4 linked regions of the Arabidopsis thaliana genome follow. The protein of the gene in region 1 interacts with the protein of each later gene in a pairwise test. Each region holds a gene or a part of one and is shown on either strand. Other genes may lie near its edges.

Region 1 (3,804 bases):
CATTGTCCCTGATCTTTACGTTACGATACAATGCCTATTAGTTTATCAAATTAAAAACTGGAAATATATTATGTCGGGCCGAAATAGAAGTCGTCACGAAACATAGACTAACCATTTACACACTATGACGGTCGACGTACATTATTTTTTAATATTAAATAATAACCATGCATGCATTAGAAGTTTAGAACATCAAGAAATATATAAATTTTATAAAGAGAGCTTGCCCTAAACTTTGTCAAATAATATCATAATTTTGAGTTTCTTTTTAAAATACCACAAAAGTTATGTTTGCTAAGATTTTTAAAAGTTTCTAACTGTTGTATTTTTTTTGAAATTATTAGATTACCGTGGTAATTAGATTTTATTTTTAAATATGATTTATAAATTTTCTAAAAACTATTTGGTCGGTTCACGAAAATGGGTTCCAACTTTATATACTGTGTAGAAGTAATTAAGCCCACATATGAGCATATTTGATCTTAAACCAGCCCAATAGCCCATTACGAATGCTTGATTAAACGGCAGTGTTTTCATGTACGAATTCCACGCTCTCCTAGCCGTCGGATGATAAGCTACAATGATTATGAGCCGTTCGATATATCACCACAAGAATCTGTAGATCAAAAGTGAGTGCGATCAAGAACTGGTTTCAGTCACTTTTTTGACAAGTCTCTCTTTCTCAAAAGTCAACCCCTTATTTTGCAATACTGTATTGTGAATCTCTCTATCAGGCCTTCGTATTTCTCACAGACTGGAGTTTTTGTTTCATAAAATCTGATAAAAGGAAAGATGTCTAACCCTCAAGATGACAAGCCCATCGACCAAGAACAAGAAGCTCATGTCATTCTCAAGGTCAAGAGCCAGGTTTTTTCACTGTGTTCCCTCTTTAATCTCCTTGAAATTTTCTGTCGTTGCTGCTTGGTTGATAATACTATATATACAGTTTCTTGATATGAAAACTTTGATGATACTCTTTTCCAAACTGTGATGATCTAAAGTATAGAGTGATTAAAATCTTTTTTCTTGATTGGTGATACTAAGGATGGAGACGAAGTCTTATTTAAGAACAAAAAAAGCGCTCCACTTAAAAAGCTCATGTATGTTTACTGCGACCGCCGAGGTTTGAAATTAGACGCATTCGCTTTCATTTTTAATGGAGCTCGTATAGGTGGCCTGGAGACTCCAGATGAGGCAAATCACTCTCTTTTTCATTTCCCTTTTACAATTTATATGTTTGTCAAAAGTGTATCATTTACTAAACCAAGATTCTCCAATTTTAAAGCTTGATATGGAAGATGGAGATGTGATAGATGCGTGCCGGGCGATGAGTGGTGGTCTACGAGCAAATCAGCGTCAGTGGTCTTATATGCTTTTCGATCATAATGGGCTTTAATTAGGAATAATTTGGCTGGCTTTGTGATATTTGACTACTTTCTTCAAGCAAAATTACTTGAAGTTTAAATCATGGTCGGTTATCGTGTGTGTAAATGACTCATGAGTGATTGGATCTTATGAATTATGATATTAATGGTATCTGGTTACGGATTTTTAGAATCTTTGTACTTTGTTAATTTTACAACCGTGAATAAACAACTCATCAAAACCTCTAAAACTCAAGTTGGCTAATTGTAAAAGGTCACACAACAAAACCATATTAAACAATTGAAATCTTTACTGGTTTGATCAAAATCAAACGGTTCACTTTGAACATCTTCACTTTTCCCAACTCAAACAAATCTACTCGAAAGCTGAGATTTTCACATTTTAAAATTCTTGGGTAGACACAGAAGTAACCAGCCCATTTGAGCCCATTAAGAATGCTAAAACGACATCATTTTAAGTTAGAGATTATACTCACTCACAGCCGTCGAATGATATAGATCAATGATTATGAACCGTTAGATAAACAAGAATCCGATGCGACCAAAGATAGTGGTTTCAGTCTTTTTTATTCTCTGCCGAGTCTCTCTCTCTCCCTCAAACCCTCAAGTTCTGCAATCCCGCGAATCTCTCTTAGGGCTTCGCTTATATCGCAGATCGAAGTTCTTGTTTCCAATCGCCGACCGTATAATCTGATAATAAAGTAAGATGTCTGCTACTCCGGAAGAAGACAAGAAGCCTGACCAAGGAGCTCACATCAATCTCAAAGTCAAGGGACAGGTTTTCTATTTCTCACTCACTCTCTCGACTTCTATTTCTTGCATTGTGTAACGATTCGTTGTCTGGTTAAAGTTTTGAGTGTGATTAGGATCTTTATAGCTTCTGATTGCTTCAATTCTAGGGTTTTGAGTTTGTCTGCGTTATTCCCAATTTCTATTCTGGTTAGCTTGTCTATGAGGTAGTGATTATTGTGTAAGCGTGACTTTTAATTGGCTTAAATTTGAAGCAAACAAAAGTTATCTGAGAATTGTGAATTATGTTTTGACTCATAATTGTAGCAAACAAAACATTACTACTCTTGTATGTGTGAGGGTGTGTATTGGTGGAGACAGTGATTATCTTCGAAGAAATTGTTGTAATGTTGTGAGTTGTGACTAAGCTAACAATTTATAACCTTGAACTCTCACTATAGCCTATTGTAGTTATGCTTTTGGAGTATGGAGCATTTGTTTCATGAAAGCTTTTCGTTGCTATGATTTGTTTTGCTTATGTTTCTGTACCCATTGGTAGGCATTTTTCGTTGTTGGTACTTGGTTGGTTATAGATACAGTTTTTGGTATTGAGAAAATCGTATATAATACTCTTCTTGAAGTAACAATCATTGGTAATTTTTCTTGTGTAGGATGGTAATGAAGTCTTCTTTAGGATCAAGAGAAGCACTCAGCTCAAAAAACTGATGAATGCTTACTGTGACCGTCAGTCTGTGGATTTCAACTCAATTGCTTTCTTGTTTGATGGTCGTCGTCTTCGTGCCGAGCAGACTCCAGATGAGGTAACATCACTCTCTGTACCCCATTCTCTTTTACTGTTTTCCGTTTTTCAAAGTTGTATGATTTCCTTAACCGAGAATCTTCAATTTTACAGCTTGAAATGGAAGATGGAGATGAGATCGATGCAATGCTTCATCAGACTGGTGGTGGTGCTAAAAATGGCCTGAAGCTCTTCTGCTTTTAGTGGCGGTTATTTTAATGGTTTTCCATAAGATTGTGTGATATTAATGGATTTAGTGAATCGGCTTTAGATTAAATTTGGCAGGCTTTGTTTTACTTTGACCAGTTTCTACTTACTGGTGAAAGTCTATGTGAATCATGAAACTTATTGGATCTTAAAATATTAATGGGCTTGTTTATGGATTTTGGAATCTTTCGATTGGCTTTAGCTTAAAGTAAACGCACAAGTTGCCGAGTATGGTAATTAGTCAAACTTGCTCCCCACGGTTCCTTGGATCCCAAGTTTCTACTGGCTATATAAGAACAGTTCTCTTCTTTTTTTTCCATAAGCTCCGGTTTCTCTGTACCCTCGTAAATAATGGCTCTACCTTCTTCGTCGTGGTCAGAGTTTCTTCCGGAGCTTCTCAACACTGTATTCCACAACCTAAACGACGCCAGAGACATTCTAAACTGTGCCACGGTCTGTTCTTCTTGGAAGGATTCTTCTTCGGCCGTATACTACAGCCGGACGTTTTCTCCTTTTCTGTTTATTTCCCATCTCTCTTCCAATGAAGAAATCCGATTCTCCGACCAGTTTAGAGTTTTGTCTCCGGGAAAGTTGGGTTTCTCAGGGAACCAACAAGCGTGGGTTTGTGGCAGTACACTAGGGTTTTTGTTGACGGTCAGTGCTTCTTTCCCGTTTGAGGTTCAT
Region 2 (4,876 bases), 2.7 Mb from region 1:
CATGAAAGATTCAATAGCAGAGACGAAACCGAATTCAGACCGTCTCCTGCACACAATGAAAGAAACAACAGAGTTAGATCAGTTCCTCCCACACCAGAAACATACAACCATCAAACATATGGTGGAGGTGGCAGATCAATGGGAAATCCAACAGAAATAAATAGACGGCAATCACGTGATCATGTCCCGGCGCGGCCAATACGCAATCTTAGAGGGCAAAGTAGTGAAAGGGTATGCATAACTTTACCATTTTATAGTACAAAATATGTGTCACAACTCATAAATATATATCGCTAAGTAAGTGTATTTTTCTCAATTAGGTGGCGACTATTCCTCCATTTCCTGGAACGGGTTCTAACATGGAAAATCAGAGTTACACACTTATCTTTGACAAAGTGAAAGAAGATAGGAACCAAGCGAGATCTTACAATGGAACCGATCATAGCACCCCGACTCGACCCATCATCGACCAACATCATCAACCATTACCTTCTAGTCCCAAGGTAGATAACCAAAATATCATTTCCCTTTCTTTCATAAATCCTCTTTTTTTACAATTGACGTTGTTATGTGTAGGGTTGCTGTTTTCCTCCATGGAGCCGAAAGGGAAGCTAATGAAGATGATCATTTCCCTTTTTTACATAATCCTCTTTTTTTTTATTTGCTTCTGCTTGATTTTTTTTAATAATATCTTTGTTATTCTTATGGAGATGTAAGGAGTAGTTTTTGCTAAAACATTATGCAACTTCTGTTACTCTATTTGCGTTTTTTTGAACAATACTCAGATTCATTTATAGGGGTGAATCCTTTTATTCACCTCCTATTATAATAAACAAAAATTAAATTTACTTAATTATAATATACAAACCTTAACTATTCTTTTATAAACCCAAGACGATATTTAATTTCGTTTAGTTACAAAAAATCTAAACTCTAATCTCTTTTTGTAAACCTAAACCGACACTTAACATCGTTTAATTATAAAATATAAATCCTAACCGTTAATTTTAAATCCAAACCGAGTTTTAACCTCGTTTAAGTGTAAAATCAGAATCCGTTTATAACCCTAAACCGAAATTTAACTTCGTTTAATTATAAAATCTAAACTCTAACCCTCTTTTATAAACGTAAAAAGCCAAACCGACATATAATTTCGTTTGGTGACATGTTATATTTTATAATTATTATTATTTTATCAGATAAAAAATTCTGATTGGTTAGAAAAGATGAGGTAAATAAAAAGATTCACCTCTACATGTGAATTGTGAATCCAAATATTTATCAGAAAATCAAACGTTACGATTAAAATGACATTTCGAACATTCATGTATTTTATTTCAAATTTGAAAATTTGCGTTTTTTCGACATTTTTTTAAAATGCGGTGGATAGATTTACAAAATTAAAAAGTTGAAGAATTTCTTAGCAATATTTATATGTTTTTTATTTACCTGTACGAGTGTTTGAAAATCCAAACAAATGGGCTGAACAAAGTTTTATAAATTGTTATCGTCATTGCTAACGTAAAACCCAATGGGCTATTTAAACATCTCAAACGGGTCCATTTTAGAAATTTTGCTTTTTCCTAGGAAACAACACTGTAAACCACGAGGAAGCTACATTACGATTTCGACACGTGTCACAATCGCACCGACCGCGTCGCTTTTTATTACGAACTCAAAAAACTCTCACCGTTTCTCACCACCTTCGTGTTTCTCTCTCTATTACAGAAAAAAAGATTCAAAAACCCTAGATTTCACAAAATCGATTGGCTGTCAAATTTCTCTCCGGCGATTTTCCTCGAGTGAAATTCGGCTCAAGGTGATTATAGCGATCATCGAATCAAATTGATTGAAGAGGTTCTTCTCTATCAAAACCTAATCTAATTCATTTCTCTTGTTGTTTGATTAAAAACGATCATTCTCGATTTTAGGATCGGATTTGTTAATTTGATCGTCTCGTTACTGTCAATTGAGTTTAATTTCGTAAAGTCGATGAATTTCTGGGAGATTGATTCTTTTCCCTTTTTGCTGTGAAATTGTGTTCTTTTGAAAAATTCTGTCTAAAGTTTGGATTTTTTTTTTCTGTAAGTATATGTGAAACTATACATTTTGAGATTATTCACGGAAATTATATTATCTTGCTTGCAATGATTTGAGTTTGTATATAAGACTTTGAGGAGTAAATTAGATTGTTTTATTGTTTGGTTGAAACTTACAGGTACAAAGGTTAGTTACTTTGAGCTGAAAGATGAACACGTCAGAGGTGAGAGTACCTCGAGGAAATCGACGGAGGAAAGCTGTGATTGATCTGAATGCGGTACCTGTTGATCAAGAAGGGACCTCTGCTTCTGTTAGAACTCTTACGGTGCCTATTACACCGTCTCAGCCTGCTCCTACGATGATTGATGTCGATGCTATTGAGGATGATGTTATTGAATCATCCGCTAGTGCTTTTGCTGAAGTATGTTTGATTTCTGTTATCTTTTAGTTTCTCATTTTTGCAGTGATGGATAGGATTTGTTTGTGTAGTAGGTTCACTGATTTTGTTTTATTTTGATACCAGGCTAAAAGCAAATCAAGAAATGCACGTCGGAGACCTTTGATGGTTGATGTAGAGTCAGGTCAGTTTTTATCTATTGTGAAAAGAAATTTTACTCTTCTGGTTCAATGTCATGTCTCAAGTAGTAGGGAGAGACAGAGAGTTTGATGGATGGATTTTACTTTGTGTTTGCAGGAGGTACGACTAGATTCCCTGCCAACATAAGCAACAAACGCAGAAGGATTCCTTCTAGTGAATCTGTCATCGACTGTGAGCATGCCTCTGTAAATGATGAAGTCAACATGTCTTCGGTAAGAGAGATGTGAATTTCTGGAATCATGTACTGTGCAGTTATGCGATTTAGTCTAAGCTCACAATTTCTTTTATCTTGTGTAGAGAGTGTCTAGATCAAAGGCTCCAGCTCCTCCACCAGAAGAGCCAAAGTTTACATGTCCAATCTGCATGTGTCCCTTTACGGAGGAGATGTCAACCAAGTGCGGTCACATCTTCTGCAAGGGATGTATAAAGATGGCAATATCTCGCCAGGGCAAATGCCCTACTTGTAGGAAAAAGGTTACTGCAAAAGAGCTGATTCGAGTTTTCCTTCCAACCACTAGATGAGTGGTCCGGCAACATCACCAGCCACCCTGTAGGTCAAACAATGATTATATTATCATCCACGTTTGTAGAGATTTACTAGATTTGAATTGTATACTTAATTAACTAAACTGGAATTTGGTTTCCATTCTCACAGGTCTAATGGTTTATCAGACTATCCTCCTATTCACTTTGGAACATTGAAGGGACTTCGTTGACTTGGTATTTTTGAATATTTTGCTTTGTTGGAAGAGAAATATTCAGTGATCAAGAAGCCAGAAGGCCCTATCATTCGATGGATATCATTGGTAATAACTCTTTGTTTTTAGTTGTTGTTCTATGTAATTTAGGTCTCTGCAAACCTCTCAGTCGATACTCTTCTCTCTTGATAGATGATAAGATATATGGAAAAAAAAATTAATATTGAATCTTTACTAAAATTCTACATCTTGATCATGTCGTGTATGCCAGTTCTCATCTCACATTGCTGATAAATGCGTAAAGTATTTATGTATGTCAGTATGAGCAAATAGTAGGAATTATAAGGGAAATTTATTGTGAAAAAAAAAAATAAAAAAAAAATAAGGGAAATTTATTAGAACTCCATGCACTGGGTCTAGAGTACAATGGTAGCAGAAGATAGATTGCAGAAGCTAATAGAATCGGTTTTGAATCGATGCTCTATTGCTCTGCCTTGTGGTTATTCACTCCTTAAGGTCACATTTTGCTAGCATGCATCGTCACCTAGTCATGGAAACTTGGTGGATGCAGCAACATTGGCATCACCTGTAGTCTGAGATCCGGGCACGGGGTTCTGTTTGTTGAGGCCAGCTTTGGGAGGAAAATAACCAAACCGTCTTTTATGAAAGGGCCAGCCATAATGTGGAAGAGGAAACCAACCCCAGAGTTGCTGGTTATTGGTGATAACCTCACTTTGCTCCTCAGGTGCATACCTCCCTTCAGCGCCTGATAGTAGAAGTGCCAGAAGGAGCTTGGCTTTCGTGTTATTCTTCTCCATTGTGATTTGTATATGGTAGTCTACTTTGATTTCTCGTTTTGCTGGGTGGTTATACTGAGAAGTAAGAACTGGATACTATAGGCCAAGCTGGTGATATGGTGGTTTTTTAGATGCCTTCTTTGTGAGGGATATTGAATGGTGTATAGATTATAGTTTTTGATCCTTTTGGAATGTTAGTCCACAGTTTTATTAACTGTTGTGTGATTAAGATCTTTCTAGTGGTAGATGCAATTCCCTGAACTCCATTGATAACAAACAGACCAAGAACACCAACCTCTTGAGCCTTGAATCTTGTAGTCATGGAGTGTGATTGGTATAGCAATGTATTGTTGAACATTAGCTTAGTTTGTTTTCTCTACCAACTGGTGAGTCGCGACATCTTAAATATCAAGAAGATAGAAATCGCACCTTGCTATTCCTATGTGTAGCCTCTGAGATTGTTGGCCTTAACGACTAGGTTTTGGTAACGACTCAAATTACTTGTCTTAGTTATATCTTTTCCATCTGATCCAACAGTCCTGAGTAACCGTTAAGCGGTCACTTAACTTTCCCAAGAAACCTAAACCACCATCAAGCCAAAGACTATCTCAGTCAACTAAACTCGACTAAGTGTCGGTAAACTTATTTGGCTAGTTGAGCTATATAGTTTAGTCGAAATATCTCAGTTTTTCCAGCTCATGTCATCTCGTCAATGCACTTTTTCTCAATACTGGGTAAAAAAG
Region 3 (8,049 bases), on another chromosome or scaffold:
AGCATTCCCATAATCAAACATACACCGAATCACTGTGTTATACGTGATCACATCAGGAGGGCTCCCACTCAAACTCATATCTTCTAAGAGGACCAAAGCAGTTCTTATATGCCCTTTCTTGCAAAGATTTCCGATGATCATGTTATAGGTAATAGTATCTGGAACCCCACCAGACATTACCATTACTCTCAAGATACACATTGCTTTATCCAGTTGATCAATTCTGGCTAGACCACGGACTAAGTTTGAGCAAGAAGGAAAATGAGGAACCTGATTATGTCGTGCCATCACCTCGACAAGTTTGCACGCATCTGTTAACTTCCCATTGCTGCACAGGTTATGAAGGATCTCATTGTTGGTCTCTTCGTCGTTCTCTGTAATTGGTCCATCAGATGATAAACCAAATTGCTTCATAGGTTTCACTCTGGCTCTCAAGTTAGTACCGACACCATAGTGATGGAACTCTGAGCTTCTCTCAGCATGATCATTTACATTGTCAATGCACACACTACTTAACAAGCCGTGACATCTAAAAAAAACATCCTTTTTCAGCCCAATTTCTTGCTTCCAATCTAAAGAAGAAAACTTTCTGCAAGATAAAGGATTCGCCTGCTTTTGAGACAGACTAGGAATATGCAAGAACTGAACCTCAAGTAGCAAATTCGACGAAGCCATTTCTCAGAATCCAGAAGCTATTTTAACAAAACAGAGATCTTTCCTTTTACAAAAGCTTATCAAACTCAATGAAGAAGAAGTTAGACCAATAATTATTTGCTGGTATGATGTTCAGTCTCTGCTGCTTTATCTCATAACCTATTCTTGAGTGAATGGAGAAACCAAACCTGTGAAAAGGAAAGGTACAAGTTATAGAGACAGAGAAGCAGACTGAAACAGTTTCCAACAAAAGAAAAGAAGCAGAAAACCTTCAAGTTGCGGTTAAGTTTGAGAAACCCTAACAAATCTGGAGAAATGATGAGTGTGAGAAACTCACTGTTCGTTGTTCGAAGCCGACGCGGGTTTTGAGATGATAAGTAGGGTTTATCCTAAATTTACAATGTGCACCCTATATGTCTCGACATGTTTCATTTATTCCCACAAACTTATGAAACATCTAACATTAACCTCCTCTGTTTTTATTCCCTTTGTTTTTGTGAATCGGTTTAATTATTTTGGGCCAATTCAGCTATCGGATTGGGCTTTTTCAAGTTTTGGGTTGAGTTACAACCAAATTAAAAATCAAACAGAGATCAATTTCTCCGCATAGAAAAATAACATGTTACATTACCATTCGAAAACAAGATGAATAGTCATTTATACACGCCTCTCTTACACATTATAATGTCTAAATAATTGCATTATCATATTCAAAATTTAGATATGTTGGTCAAAAACAGAATTAAGTATTATAAATTGTGTATACCAAATTAGTTGACGCTATCATTGCATATCATACTCACATACTACAATATTTATTACATGAACTAAGTGATTGTATTCCAGTGGCTATTTTCATTTAACTATAACAAAAAAATCGAATGCGATAAAACTACTTCGAAAATAATCGATGGCTCTTGGAATTTTTATAAAATCTAGTTCTTGAAATAAATAAAAATTTCTATGCAATATTTTTCGGTAAATTTTTGTTCTCTATTACAATAAAATTTTATTTTAAAGAAATGAAATTGTTATTTAGCGTATATTTGTAACCAAATTAGCAGGCGTAAATACAAATCCTTTAAATAACTCTGTTGTTGTGTGGATATGCGGTAATGTCCACCCGTGAATAAATGTTTACGTGTTATATGACCCAACAAAGTGAACCAATTATATTACTCCTCTCTAACGCACTTGTTTATTGCATTTTTATTTATTTGATGGTCGAAACAAAATAGTAAGAGTAGTTGTTGCATAGGAAATTGCATCTGCTTGCTTTTGAAGCGTTAATAACTTATAACCAAGCAAGACATATATCATACAGAGCAAAAAATTAGGCAAACCCAGAAAAAGCCACCACATGTTCCTCTTCTCATGATCTTAAAATTGAAAAAAAGAAGGTGATAAGTTTAATCTAATCTTGACCAGTGAAATAGCTTTTTGTTGCTTGTTGTTTTTGTTCATTCTTCACAGATTTAATTGTCACATACCCAACGTATATGGATGGACCTGTAGATTTAATTCCAGTTTTACCCTTTTCTTCTTCCTTTCATCTGATTTTGTTTGCTGCTTTTTTTTTGTTTTCTGGGGAATATGGAAAAGGTTAGGTTTCATATTTGGACCTTTTTTTTTGGTGTTGAATTTTTCTTCTTAATTTTTATGCAAACATGGAAAAGGACATGCGATGATAATCCTGAATCTACTAGTGCTTAGATCTGATGAATACTGGATTATTAAAAAAAAATATTACTAAAAATTTCAATGATCTAGGGTTTCTTCAGATCTTTAAATTTGTTGCTGATTTTACTCGATTTCTCTTAGTCTGGGTGCAGTTGATGGAGCTCCAGCTATTTTGACCATCCAATTTCACCAGAAACCCTAAATCACAAGACTATGTAAGCATTTTCCTTATGGCTCTTCTTCCTGATTTTTGATTCAGCTAATTTGGTGATGAACCGTTTATATATATCTGTAATCGTACTTTACCCTGAAAATATGTACCTACCATATGTGTCATGTGTATTTTTATTATTTTATAAATGGTTGTGATATTATTGAGACATGAATGAATGATGCTTCAATTGTATGTAGTGTTGGCACAGAAGTAATGGGGACAGAGCTAATGAGAATCTGTGTGAAAGAAGATAGTGATGATTTGCCATCTGTTCCTCCTGGTTTTGAATCATATGCAACTTTTACCTTAAAAAGAGTAGTCCCTGCTACTACTTCTGATAAAGCCAAGACTCCTGCAATTGAAAGTGTTTCTGCAACCGAACAAGCTAAGATGGAAGTTGAATCTGATGAAGCCAAAGCTGCTCGGGCTCTACGCCGTAGACCTTGGATTAATCATAGCGGATGTGATGATGATGGTGATTGTGCTGCAAACAATGACAATGCTGCATCTCAAAATCCTGATCAAGTTCGTTCTTTGTTTTGCTTTTTATTCCTGGCAACTTGTGTTTCAACTTTCCATCTCTTTGTTTGCCTTGCTTATGCATGGTGTTGTTACAGAATTGTGATGTGAAGCCAGCTCTTCCAAAGGGTGTGGTCAGGGGATGTGAAGAATGTAAAGATTGTCAGAAGGTTAATCTCAGTTAATGCTTGTTTCAGAAATAAACTTATAAACGTCTTTCGCTTGAGCATTAGATGTTTGATCTTTTCTTCTTATTTACGATTTTCATAACCCTCTAACGTTATATTCACAAGTTTGGCAGGTAACTGCGAGATGGCATCCAGATGAAGCTCGTAGGCCTGACCTTGAGGACGCCCCTGTATTCTACCCGAGCGAAGAGGTCTTGTTCATATTCTATACTTCCAAACCCTTTTAACTGAATTTCTAGCTCCATATTTCTAACATAAACTGCAAACCTGTTTCTAGGAGTTTGAAGACACTTTAAATTATATCGCTAAAATAAGACCGGAGGCTGAAAAGTATGGAATCTGTCGCATTGTTCCTCCTCCTTCCTGGAAACCGCCGTGCCCACTGAAAGAAAAGCAAGTATGGGAGGGTTCTAAATTTACAACACGTGTCCAAAGAGTTGATAAACTTCAGAATCGGAGTTCAATGAAGAAGATTTCAAAGCTTCCTAATCAAATGAGAAAGAAGAAAAGAAAGTGCATGAAAATGGGAATGGATTCTGTCACTAATGGTATGGGCGATCCCTGTTCTGCAAGCACTGGAATGAATGAACTTGAGACGTTTGGGTTTGAACCTGGTCCAGGGTTCACACTAAAAGACTTCCAAAAATATGCTGATGAGTTCAAGGCTCAGTACTTTAAAAAGAGTGAAACTTCTACAGACGATAAATGTAAAGTTGATAATTCAATAGACTGCTGGGAGCCAGCACTTGAGGATGTTGAAGGTGAATATTGGCGGATAGTAGATAAAGCAACTGAAGAGATAGAGGTAAAGTTTTGTCCCCTGTTGTTCTTTTTATTTGGGGGTTTATGGTCTATTAGGACCCCTGTATCTCCTAACTACCACAATGATTTTTCAATATAGGTGCTATATGGTGCTGACCTTGAAACTGGGGTATTTGGTAGCGGATTCCCCAAGATATCATCAAGTCACAATGCTTCTTCTTCAGAAGATAAATATGCAAAATCAGGCTGGAACTTAAATAACTTTCCAAGGCTTCCGGGATCCCTCCTTAAGTACGAGGGCAGTGATATTTCCGGTGTCCTTGTGCCGTGGCTGTATATTGGGATGTGCTTTTCTTCTTTCTGCTGGGTAAGATTGATCTCTGTGAATTGCATAATTTATTTTGCAGGTTAAAGCATGTACTTAGTTGGGATCTCTTCCTTTTACTGAAATCAAGCGTAGCCTCATACAAAAACTTACAACTACAACCGGATGTGCTTTGTTTTTTGTATACCTATTCACAAATAGTAGATAAATGTGATTAAATTTCTGTGCTACATATTTACAATGATAATTTTTCCATTATTCCTAAAGCTACGCTAGGATTATTATTGATTCAATTTCCCACAAAAGTATTAGTTAGTGTCTTCATATTATACAGTTTTCTTACACCAGTGGATGCAATTTTCATTACTTCACATCTTATTTCGTTTTATATTTTCCACTTCTGACATTCCTTTTGTTCTGCTTTTTTTTTGTTTTTGTTTACCTGAAATAGCATGTTGAAGATCACCACTTGTATTCGTTGAATTATATGCACTGGGGTGCACCGAAATTGTGGTATGGTGTTGGGGGGAAGGATGCTGTTAAACTCGAGGAGGCAATGAGGAAGCATTTGCCTGACCTTTTTGAAGAACAGCCTGACTTACTTCATAAGCTAGTAAGTATTGGATATTTGATGAACTAAAGCATCGCTTTGCTTCTCTATAATCAATGATCAATAGAATCTTGAAAAGTAGAAAAGTGTTCAATCACGATGATGTTCTTATTTCACTAATATGTTAATGTTAGCATATAATAGAATATTACCATATCTGTGTTTCCATTTTTGTAGTTAATCACCCTGTAGGAATTTCTACAGACCCGTTTTATGTCCTCTATTGACTTGCACAGTTGCACCTGGTTTAAATACATTTGTTGCAGATTATTGTTTCGGTATAAAACAAATCCTTTGATGCTCTTTCGTGTAGGTTACACAACTCTCCCCGTCAAAACTGAAAACCGCAGGAGTACCTGTGCACCGTTGCGTCCAGCATGCTGGAGAGTTTGTCTTGACTTTTCCTCGGGCATATCATGCTGGATTTAATTCTGGTTTCAACTGTGCTGAAGCTGTGAATGTAGCACCCGTTGACTGGTTACCTCATGGGCAGATTGCCATAGAGTTATACTGTCAACAGGGTAGAAAAACGTCCATCTCGCATGATAAATTGTTGCTTGGGGCAGCAAGGGAAGTAGTGAAAGCCGACTGGGAGCTGAACTTACTAAGGAAAAATACTGTAGATAACTTAAGGTGGAAAGCATTCAGTGCGAAGGATGGAATTTTGGCAAAAACATTAAAGGTAAAGATTAGATATTCTTACTCTTGATTCTTGAAGTTTAGATGCCTATAAGTGTGAATGATTGGAAAATCCTGAACTCATGAATAACTTGAGAGGTATCTTTGCAAACTGGTACCACGGTGGTATCCGTTGTAAACTGGTAGCATGAGGTTGTAATTGATATGGAACTTGAAATTCTCTTAAGTTGAGGGGTATTGCATATCACACGAATCTACAGCTAACTAACAAGGGAAGAACGGAAGATTACTACACCACCTCTTACTAGTTAAAACAAATGATTAGTTCAGGAGGTGTTCATCTTCTGCCTGGGTCTAACTGTACAAATAAATCTCGTAGGTTTAAGAGGATCATTCTTTATTGTCAATATGGTGATTAATGGACTTGTCATGTTTTTTATTTAGGCACGCATTGACATGGAACGTACGAGAAGAGAATTTCTGTGCAACTCTTCACTTGCATTGAAAATGCACAGTAATTTCGATGCTACCAACGAGAGAGAGTGCTGTATATGCTTCTTTGATTTGCACCTGTCTGCTGCTGGCTGTCGTTGTTCCCCGGAGAAGTATTCATGTTTGACTCATGTGAAGGAGTTGTGTTCATGTCCATGGGTTACTAAATATTTTCTATTTCGCTATGATATCGATGAACTGAATGTTCTTGTTGAGGCAGTGGAAGGAAAACTGAGTTCTGTATATAGATGGGCGCGTCAAGATTTAGGATTGGCATTAAGTACAGACGTCTCAGGAAGCAAGATGGAGATAGATGAAGAAGGAAAAGTCCACAAGGACCCGACTCCACAAACAACTGCACTTTCAGGGAAGGATTTGCAGTTGAAAGTAACATCGAAAGAAGTAAGTAAAGAGTTAGAAAAGACTAGTAAATTATCTCATGTTAATTTACTTCTGAAAGAAAAGGAGGAGCAAATAACGTCAAGTCACTGTATGAAGCCTGTCAAAGAAGAAACTGTTTGTGATTCTTCTGATCCAAACGTTTCAGCTTGCCAACCATCTGAAGGAGGCATAATCTGTATGACAGCTGTTAAGTCCGCAAGTGGTAAAAAGAATTCACAGAGTCTACCCAATGATGTGATACTCCTCAGCGATGATGAGTATGACATACCTAGGAAACGAGGTTCTGTGAGAAGAGATGCAATTTCTTCTGGCAAGAAATTAGAAATACGAGAGAGACCGACCCACGTTTTGGCGTTAGAAGCTTCTGCCAAAATTGCTGCTCCAATTTGCCAAAGGGAAGGAGATTCGCTGCGTGATACACGAAACACTATATCATTGCCTACTAATGACCAAAAAACAATGAGAAGGGATGTACCGAGTTCTACTTCGCACGCGGAAGTTAATGCGGAGGCTACTGGGCTTACTCAAGATATATGTAACAGAATGGCAACTAACAGCCACGGTGGTGGAAAACCTACTAGTTGTAAATCCAAAAACTCTGGAGGTTTGGCTATAGTGGATGTTGTGGATGGGACAAGAAGTAGTTCAGGTACACCGTCTTGTTCGCAAAATAATAGTCCGGATAGGTTCATCCGCCAAAAGGGTCCCCGCATTGCAAAGGTCGTGAGGAGAATCAATTGCAATGTAGAGCCTTTAAGTTATGGATGTGTGCTGTCTGGAAAATCATGGTGCAGCCGGCGAGCAATTTTTCCTAAAGGTGACATGTGGTCAAGTATTTTTGCTACTTGAGAACATTAACAGTTATACATATTGCAAGTGCTTATTGTCTATTCTTCTTTGGTGCAGGATTTCGTAGCCGGGTTAAGTACATAAACATTTTGGATCCAACAAATATGTGCTTCTACATTTCAGAAATTCTGGATGCTGGACGCAACAGTCCATTGTTCATGGTTAGTTGGTAGATAGATGCTGATCTAATTTAACTAACCTTAAAAATATGTCTGAGTAGTGTTTCATTTTCAAATTAAATATTGCCATATGAATAAATCCGATGACATGAATCTGAACCGGAAATATGATCCATTATTTGGCTGTCAAAGACGTAGAGTCCCATCATGCTAACATAAACTTTAAAAGTTTTGAACTGAGTATGAAACCGGAATTAACCTATTAATCAACCTTTAAAATCTTGTGTGTGTGTGTAAAAAAAGGTTGTTTTGTCTTGATTCTATTGGTCATTGTGCAGTTCCAAAAATCTTGCCCATCAACAAACTGTGTGGTATGTTCTTTTTGTCAGGTTTACTTGGAGAGTAATCCCAGTGAGGTGTTCGTTCATATGTCGCCTACAAGATGCTGGGAGATGGTAAGAGAGAGAGTAAATCAAGAGATAACTAAGCAGCACAAAGCTGGAAAATCAGATCTTCCTCCTTTGCAACCCTCTGGGAGTCCCGACGGTTTTGAAATGTTTGGATATTCGTCACCCGCAATCGTACAGGTAAATCTT
Region 4 (4,637 bases), about 21 Mb from region 1:
ACTAGCTTGATTGACGTTGAACTTGTCAATGCGAAAGCGATATTTCCAATATATACTACATGTAGTATTATTTATATGGAAGTTTCTAAAAAGGTGTTGAGTGGATTGTTACTTGTTGGAGGATGCTATTTTTTCCTTCTTGCCATAATATTTTACGAGTATGGGATAACTACATACTCATGATTATGAAACGCTCACTTTATTTGAAAAACCTCCTAATACACCAAATATGTCACTAGATTCCAAAACGTAGACCAATTGTATCTAATCTCAAATTCTCAATCAAAGTATTAATTTACCGATGGTAAGAAAAGTTAACCGATATAATTATCAAAAGAAAGAATAAGTCAACAGATTCTTAATCTCTTTATTTTGGTATATGAACATTTGTACAAAAATCTCAAAAGATATGTAACTGTTTAAAATATAAATTCACTGAGATTAATTCTTCAGACTCGTGTTAGCTATAATAATGTCAAGAGTTCTTCTTGTTTCAAGGAAAAACCTTAAAGATATGTATATTTTCTGTAATTATGATGATATAATTTGCTATTCATTGTCACAAACATTACTTTAAAAAATCGTATTTTCATTACTACAATGTTGACTAAGAACAAAAATACATTGATTATTGATATATCGTCAACTGAATTTTCTTCCGAGGGATATAATTCTCAAACATAGCAAGAATCTCATAATAATGTTTCGTGACTACCTTTAGACGAAATTTTTTTAAGATTCGTAACGTGACTTATGGTCTCTTGCTGTGGGGGTCAATGCGAATAAATCTAAATGTATGGGAGTCAAATAAAATACCAAGAAAAATAAAGGAGCAGCACCCAATAAACTATATGGGACCAGAAATCCTTTCATTGGTTTAAAATAGGATTATCCCGAAAGATGAAGGACTAAATTGAAACTGATTGGGGGTAGGAAGAGATCCGTCACAATCATTAATGGCTTCCACGCGGAAACTTGTCGTTTATACAATTTCATTAACTTTCGGGTCGGGTTTATATTCCAAATGGGTCAAATAATATTAGTTTAATACACTAACGGAGTAATTAATTGGTGACTACAATTTTATCAGTTTGGTGCAATTAGAAACGAACATAGTCGTAAAATACGAGTTCGGTGTTATACCTTTATTTACGTTAAAAAAATACGAGAATTTTGTGTCAAATTTCAAATTAATTTCATGAATATATGGAAATTATTAGATACTCTAGCGAAAATAGTGATTATGAGCGTTTTACAAAAATACGATTTTAGCATTGAACTTCCTTTATGTAATTCGGTCAAATGTTGGCATGAAGAAGCAAGTTTGCAACATTAAATTTCATTTAAAAATCGTGTTGACATACTTTAAAATCTAAATATAGGAAGAAGACCAAAACATTAAATTTAGTAAGATTCTAATGAACATTTATAAGTTATAACTTATAACCAACAAAAGTTGGGTTTAGCGTTGTTGCTTTATCTGAAAACTTGCAAACTAAACCATTTTAATAGGACTAATGACAATTAACAACAAAATACACTTAAGCAACAACGTCCTCGTGAATATAATTTGGGCCTCAGGCCCATATTGCTAACGCCAACTGATATTTCACTTTATTCCTTCTTCATCTCACCACACTCTCTCTCTATCTCTATCTCTAACGGCATAGCTGACTCAGTGTTCTCCGGCATTGACTCGCCTGAGAATCAGAAAGCTTAGATCGGTGAGCTTTTAGCTCCATTTTCTGTTTATTTACATATTATTTCCTTTTTTTCTCTCTCCCTTTTTTATCTGGAATTTGTTCTGCTAAATTTTCCAGCTGTTACATTTTCCGATCACGAGAAGAATCACTGGGTTTTTATGTTAATCAATACATGTTCCTGTTTTCTGATCATAAATCTCAGCTATTAACACCTGATTTTGATTCTGCGTAATAAAAACCTCTGATTTGCTTTTATCTTCACTTTCCCCATAAACATTGCTTACTTTATTCGCTCTTCTTTTACCGTTTCCAGCTAAAAAATTCTTCGCTATTCAATGTGTTTCTCGTTTTGTTGATGAGAAAAATATCTGACAAAAAATCATTTATTGCATTTTATGGTGCAGATTCTTAGTTAATGTCGCCTTCTCTAACCAAGTCAGATTAAAAAGGAGTGTTCGTCCATGTTGCTTTGTTTTGGTGTTTGGAGAGAGTTTTCGGAGAGTTAGGTGAGTGTTATTTGGGGTGAGGTAGTGATAAGGTTTGAAGGGGGAGTGATTCATCAAGTGTGTTATGAATTCGAGGGCTGATCCGGGGGATAGATATTTTCGAGTTCCTTTGGAGAATCAAACTCAACAAGAGTTCATGGGTTCTTGGATTCCATTTACACCCAAAAAACCTAGATCAAGTCTGATGGTAGATGAGAGAGTGATAAACCAGGATCTAAATGGGTTTCCAGGTGGTGAATTTGTAGACAGGGGATTCTGCAACACTGGTGTGGATCATAATGGGGTTTTTGATCATGGTGCTCATCAGGGCGTTACCAACTTAAGTATGATGATCAATAGCTTAGCGGGATCACATGCACAAGCTTGGAGTAATAGTGAGAGAGATCTTTTGGGCAGGAGTGAGGTGACTTCTCCTTTAGCACCAGTTATCAGAAACACCACCGGTAATGTAGAGCCGGTCAATGGAAATTTTACTTCAGATGTGGGTATGGTAAATGGTCCTTTCACCCAGAGTGGCACTTCTCAAGCTGGCTATAATGAGTTTGAATTGGATGACTTGTTGAATCCTGATCAGATGCCCTTCTCCTTCACAAGCTTGCTGAGTGGTGGGGATAGCTTATTCAAGGTTCGTCAATGTGAGTGATCAAATCTATTTTCAGTTTTTTTTTTTCCCTTTCTTCCGTTCTTGCAGTACTTAGAGTAGAACATGAATTAGAATATCTTAAGAAAGTCATGGTTTTGAACAGATGGACCTCCAGCGTGTAACAAGCCTCTTTACAATTTGAATTCACCAATTAGAAGAGAAGCAGTTGGGTCAGTCTGTGAAAGTTCGTTTCAATATGTACCGTCAACGCCCAGTCTGTTCAGAACAGGTGAAAAGACTGGATTCCTTGAACAGATAGTTACAACTACTGGACATGAAATCCCAGAGCCGAAATCTGACAAAAGTATGCAGAGCATTATGGACTCGTCTGCTGTTAATGCGACGGAAGCTACTGAACAAAATGATGGCAGCAGACAAGATGTTCTGGAGTTCGACCTTAACAAAACTCCTCAGCAGAAACCCTCCAAAAGGAAAAGGAAGTTCATGCCCAAGGTGGTCGTGGAAGGCAAACCTAAAAGAAAGCCACGCAAACCTGCAGAACTTCCCAAAGTGGTCGTGGAAGGCAAACCTAAAAGGAAGCCACGCAAAGCTGCAACTCAGGAAAAAGTGAAATCTAAAGAAACCGGGAGTGCCAAAAAGAAAAATTTGAAAGAATCAGCAACTAAAAAGCCAGCCAATGTTGGAGATATGAGCAACAAAAGCCCTGAAGTCACACTCAAAAGTTGCAGAAAAGCTTTGAATTTTGACTTGGAGAATCCTGGAGATGCGAGGCAAGGTGACTCTGAGTCTGAAATTGTCCAGAACAGTAGTGGCGCAAACTCGTTTTCTGAGATCAGAGATGCCATTGGTGGAACTAATGGTAGTTTCCTGGATTCAGTGTCACAAATAGACAAGACCAATGGATTGGGGGCTATGAACCAGCCACTTGAAGTGTCAATGGGAAACCAGCCAGATAAACTATCTACAGGAGCGAAACTGGCCAGAGACCAACAACCTGATTTATTGACTAGAAACCAGCAATGCCAGTTCCCAGTGGCAACCCAGAACACCCAGTTCCCAATGGAAAACCAACAAGCTTGGCTTCAGATGAAAAACCAACTTATTGGCTTTCCATTTGGTAACCAGCAACCTCGCATGACCATAAGAAACCAGCAGCCTTGCTTGGCCATGGGTAATCAACAACCTATGTATCTGATAGGAACTCCACGGCCTGCATTAGTAAGTGGAAACCAGCAACTAGGAGGTCCCCAAGGAAACAAGCGGCCTATATTTTTGAATCACCAGACTTGTTTACCTGCTGGAAATCAGCTATATGGATCACCTACAGACATGCATCAACTTGTTATGTCAACCGGAGGGCAACAACATGGACTACTGATAAAAAACCAGCAACCTGGATCATTAATAAGAGGCCAGCAGCCTTGCGTACCTTTGATTGACCAGCAACCTGCAACTCCAAAAGGTTTTACTCACTTGAATCAGATGGTAGCTACCAGCATGTCATCGCCTGGGCTTCGACCTCATTCTCAGTCACAAGTTCCTACAACATATCTACATGTGGAATCTGTTTCCAGGATTTTGAATGGGACTACAGGTACATGCCAGAGAAGCAGGGCTCCTGCATACGATTCTTTACAGCAAGATATCCATCAAGGAAATAAGTACATACTTTCTCATGAGATATCCAATGGTAATGGGTGCAAGAAAGCGTTACCTCAAAACTCTTCTCTGCCAACTCCAATTATGGCTAAACTTGAGGAAGCCAGGGGCTCGAAGAGACAGTATCATCGTGCAATGGGACAGACGGAAAAGCATGATCTAAAC

The links.
Region 2: the proteins of SUMO2 (region 1) and AT5G48655 interact in a two-hybrid assay, tested with the Arabidopsis thaliana proteins (one study listed by BioGRID).
Region 3: the proteins of SUMO2 (region 1) and PKDM7D interact in a two-hybrid assay, tested with the Arabidopsis thaliana proteins (one study listed by BioGRID).
Region 4: the proteins of SUMO2 (region 1) and DME interact in a two-hybrid assay, tested with the Arabidopsis thaliana proteins (one study listed by BioGRID).

The regions. Positions count from the first base shown.
Region 1 is NC_003076.8:22,383,060-22,386,863, reverse strand, and holds SUMO2 (small ubiquitin-like modifier 2), read left to right. Parts: upstream 1-1,938; 5' UTR 1,939-2,091; coding exon 2,092-2,163; intron 2,164-2,673; coding exon 2,674-2,712; intron 2,713-2,785; coding exon 2,786-2,935; intron 2,936-3,027; coding exon 3,028-3,117; 3' UTR 3,118-3,304; downstream 3,305-3,804. Other genes in the region: SUMO3 (small ubiquitin-like modifier 3), read left to right, coding at 793-867, 1,045-1,194, 1,286-1,396; AT5G55150 (F-box SKIP23-like protein (DUF295)), read left to right, coding at 3,472-3,774. UniProt on the Arabidopsis thaliana protein: Ubiquitin-like protein which can be covalently attached to target lysines as a monomer. Does not seem to be involved in protein degradation and may function as an antagonist of ubiquitin in the degradation process.
Region 2 is NC_003076.8:19,729,859-19,734,734, reverse strand, and holds AT5G48655 (RING/U-box superfamily protein), read left to right. Parts: upstream 1-1,578; 5' UTR 1,579-1,857; exon of another isoform or gene 1,858-2,218; 5' UTR 2,219-2,248; coding exon 2,249-2,461; intron 2,462-2,563; coding exon 2,564-2,621; intron 2,622-2,734; coding exon 2,735-2,850; intron 2,851-2,935; coding exon 2,936-3,160; 3' UTR 3,161-3,188; exon of another isoform or gene 3,189-3,192; intron 3,193-3,293; 3' UTR 3,294-4,345; downstream 4,346-4,876. Other genes in the region: AT5G48657 (defense protein-like protein), read left to right, coding at 1-231, 321-716.
Region 3 is NC_003070.9:2,734,793-2,742,841, forward strand, and holds the start of PKDM7D (Transcription factor jumonji (jmj) family protein / zinc finger (C5HC2 type) family protein), read left to right. Parts: upstream 1-2,043; 5' UTR 2,044-2,256; exon of another isoform or gene 2,257-2,475; 5' UTR 2,476-2,719; coding exon 2,720-3,073; intron 3,074-3,165; coding exon 3,166-3,237; intron 3,238-3,368; coding exon 3,369-3,446; intron 3,447-3,532; coding exon 3,533-4,060; intron 4,061-4,156; coding exon 4,157-4,384; intron 4,385-4,793; coding exon 4,794-4,955; intron 4,956-5,265; coding exon 5,266-5,634; intron 5,635-6,035; coding exon 6,036-7,302; intron 7,303-7,391; coding exon 7,392-7,495; intron 7,496-7,842; coding exon 7,843-8,040; intron 8,041-8,049. Other genes in the region: AT1G08610 (Pentatricopeptide repeat (PPR) superfamily protein), read right to left, coding at 1-675. UniProt on the Arabidopsis thaliana protein: Functions as a histone H3 'Lys-4' (H3K4me) demethylase involved in the negative regulation of gene expression. Active on H3K4me1, H3K4me2 and H3K4me3. Not active on mono-, di- and trimethylated H3K9, H3K27 and H3K36 in somatic cells.
Region 4 is NC_003076.8:1,307,513-1,312,149, forward strand, and holds the start of DME (HhH-GPD base excision DNA repair family protein), read left to right. Parts: upstream 1-1,601; 5' UTR 1,602-1,724; exon of another isoform or gene 1,725-2,107; 5' UTR 2,108-2,273; coding exon 2,274-2,844; exon of another isoform or gene 2,845-2,955; coding exon 2,956-4,637. UniProt on the Arabidopsis thaliana protein: Transcriptional activator involved in gene imprinting. Catalyzes the release of 5-methylcytosine (5-meC) from DNA by a glycosylase/lyase mechanism.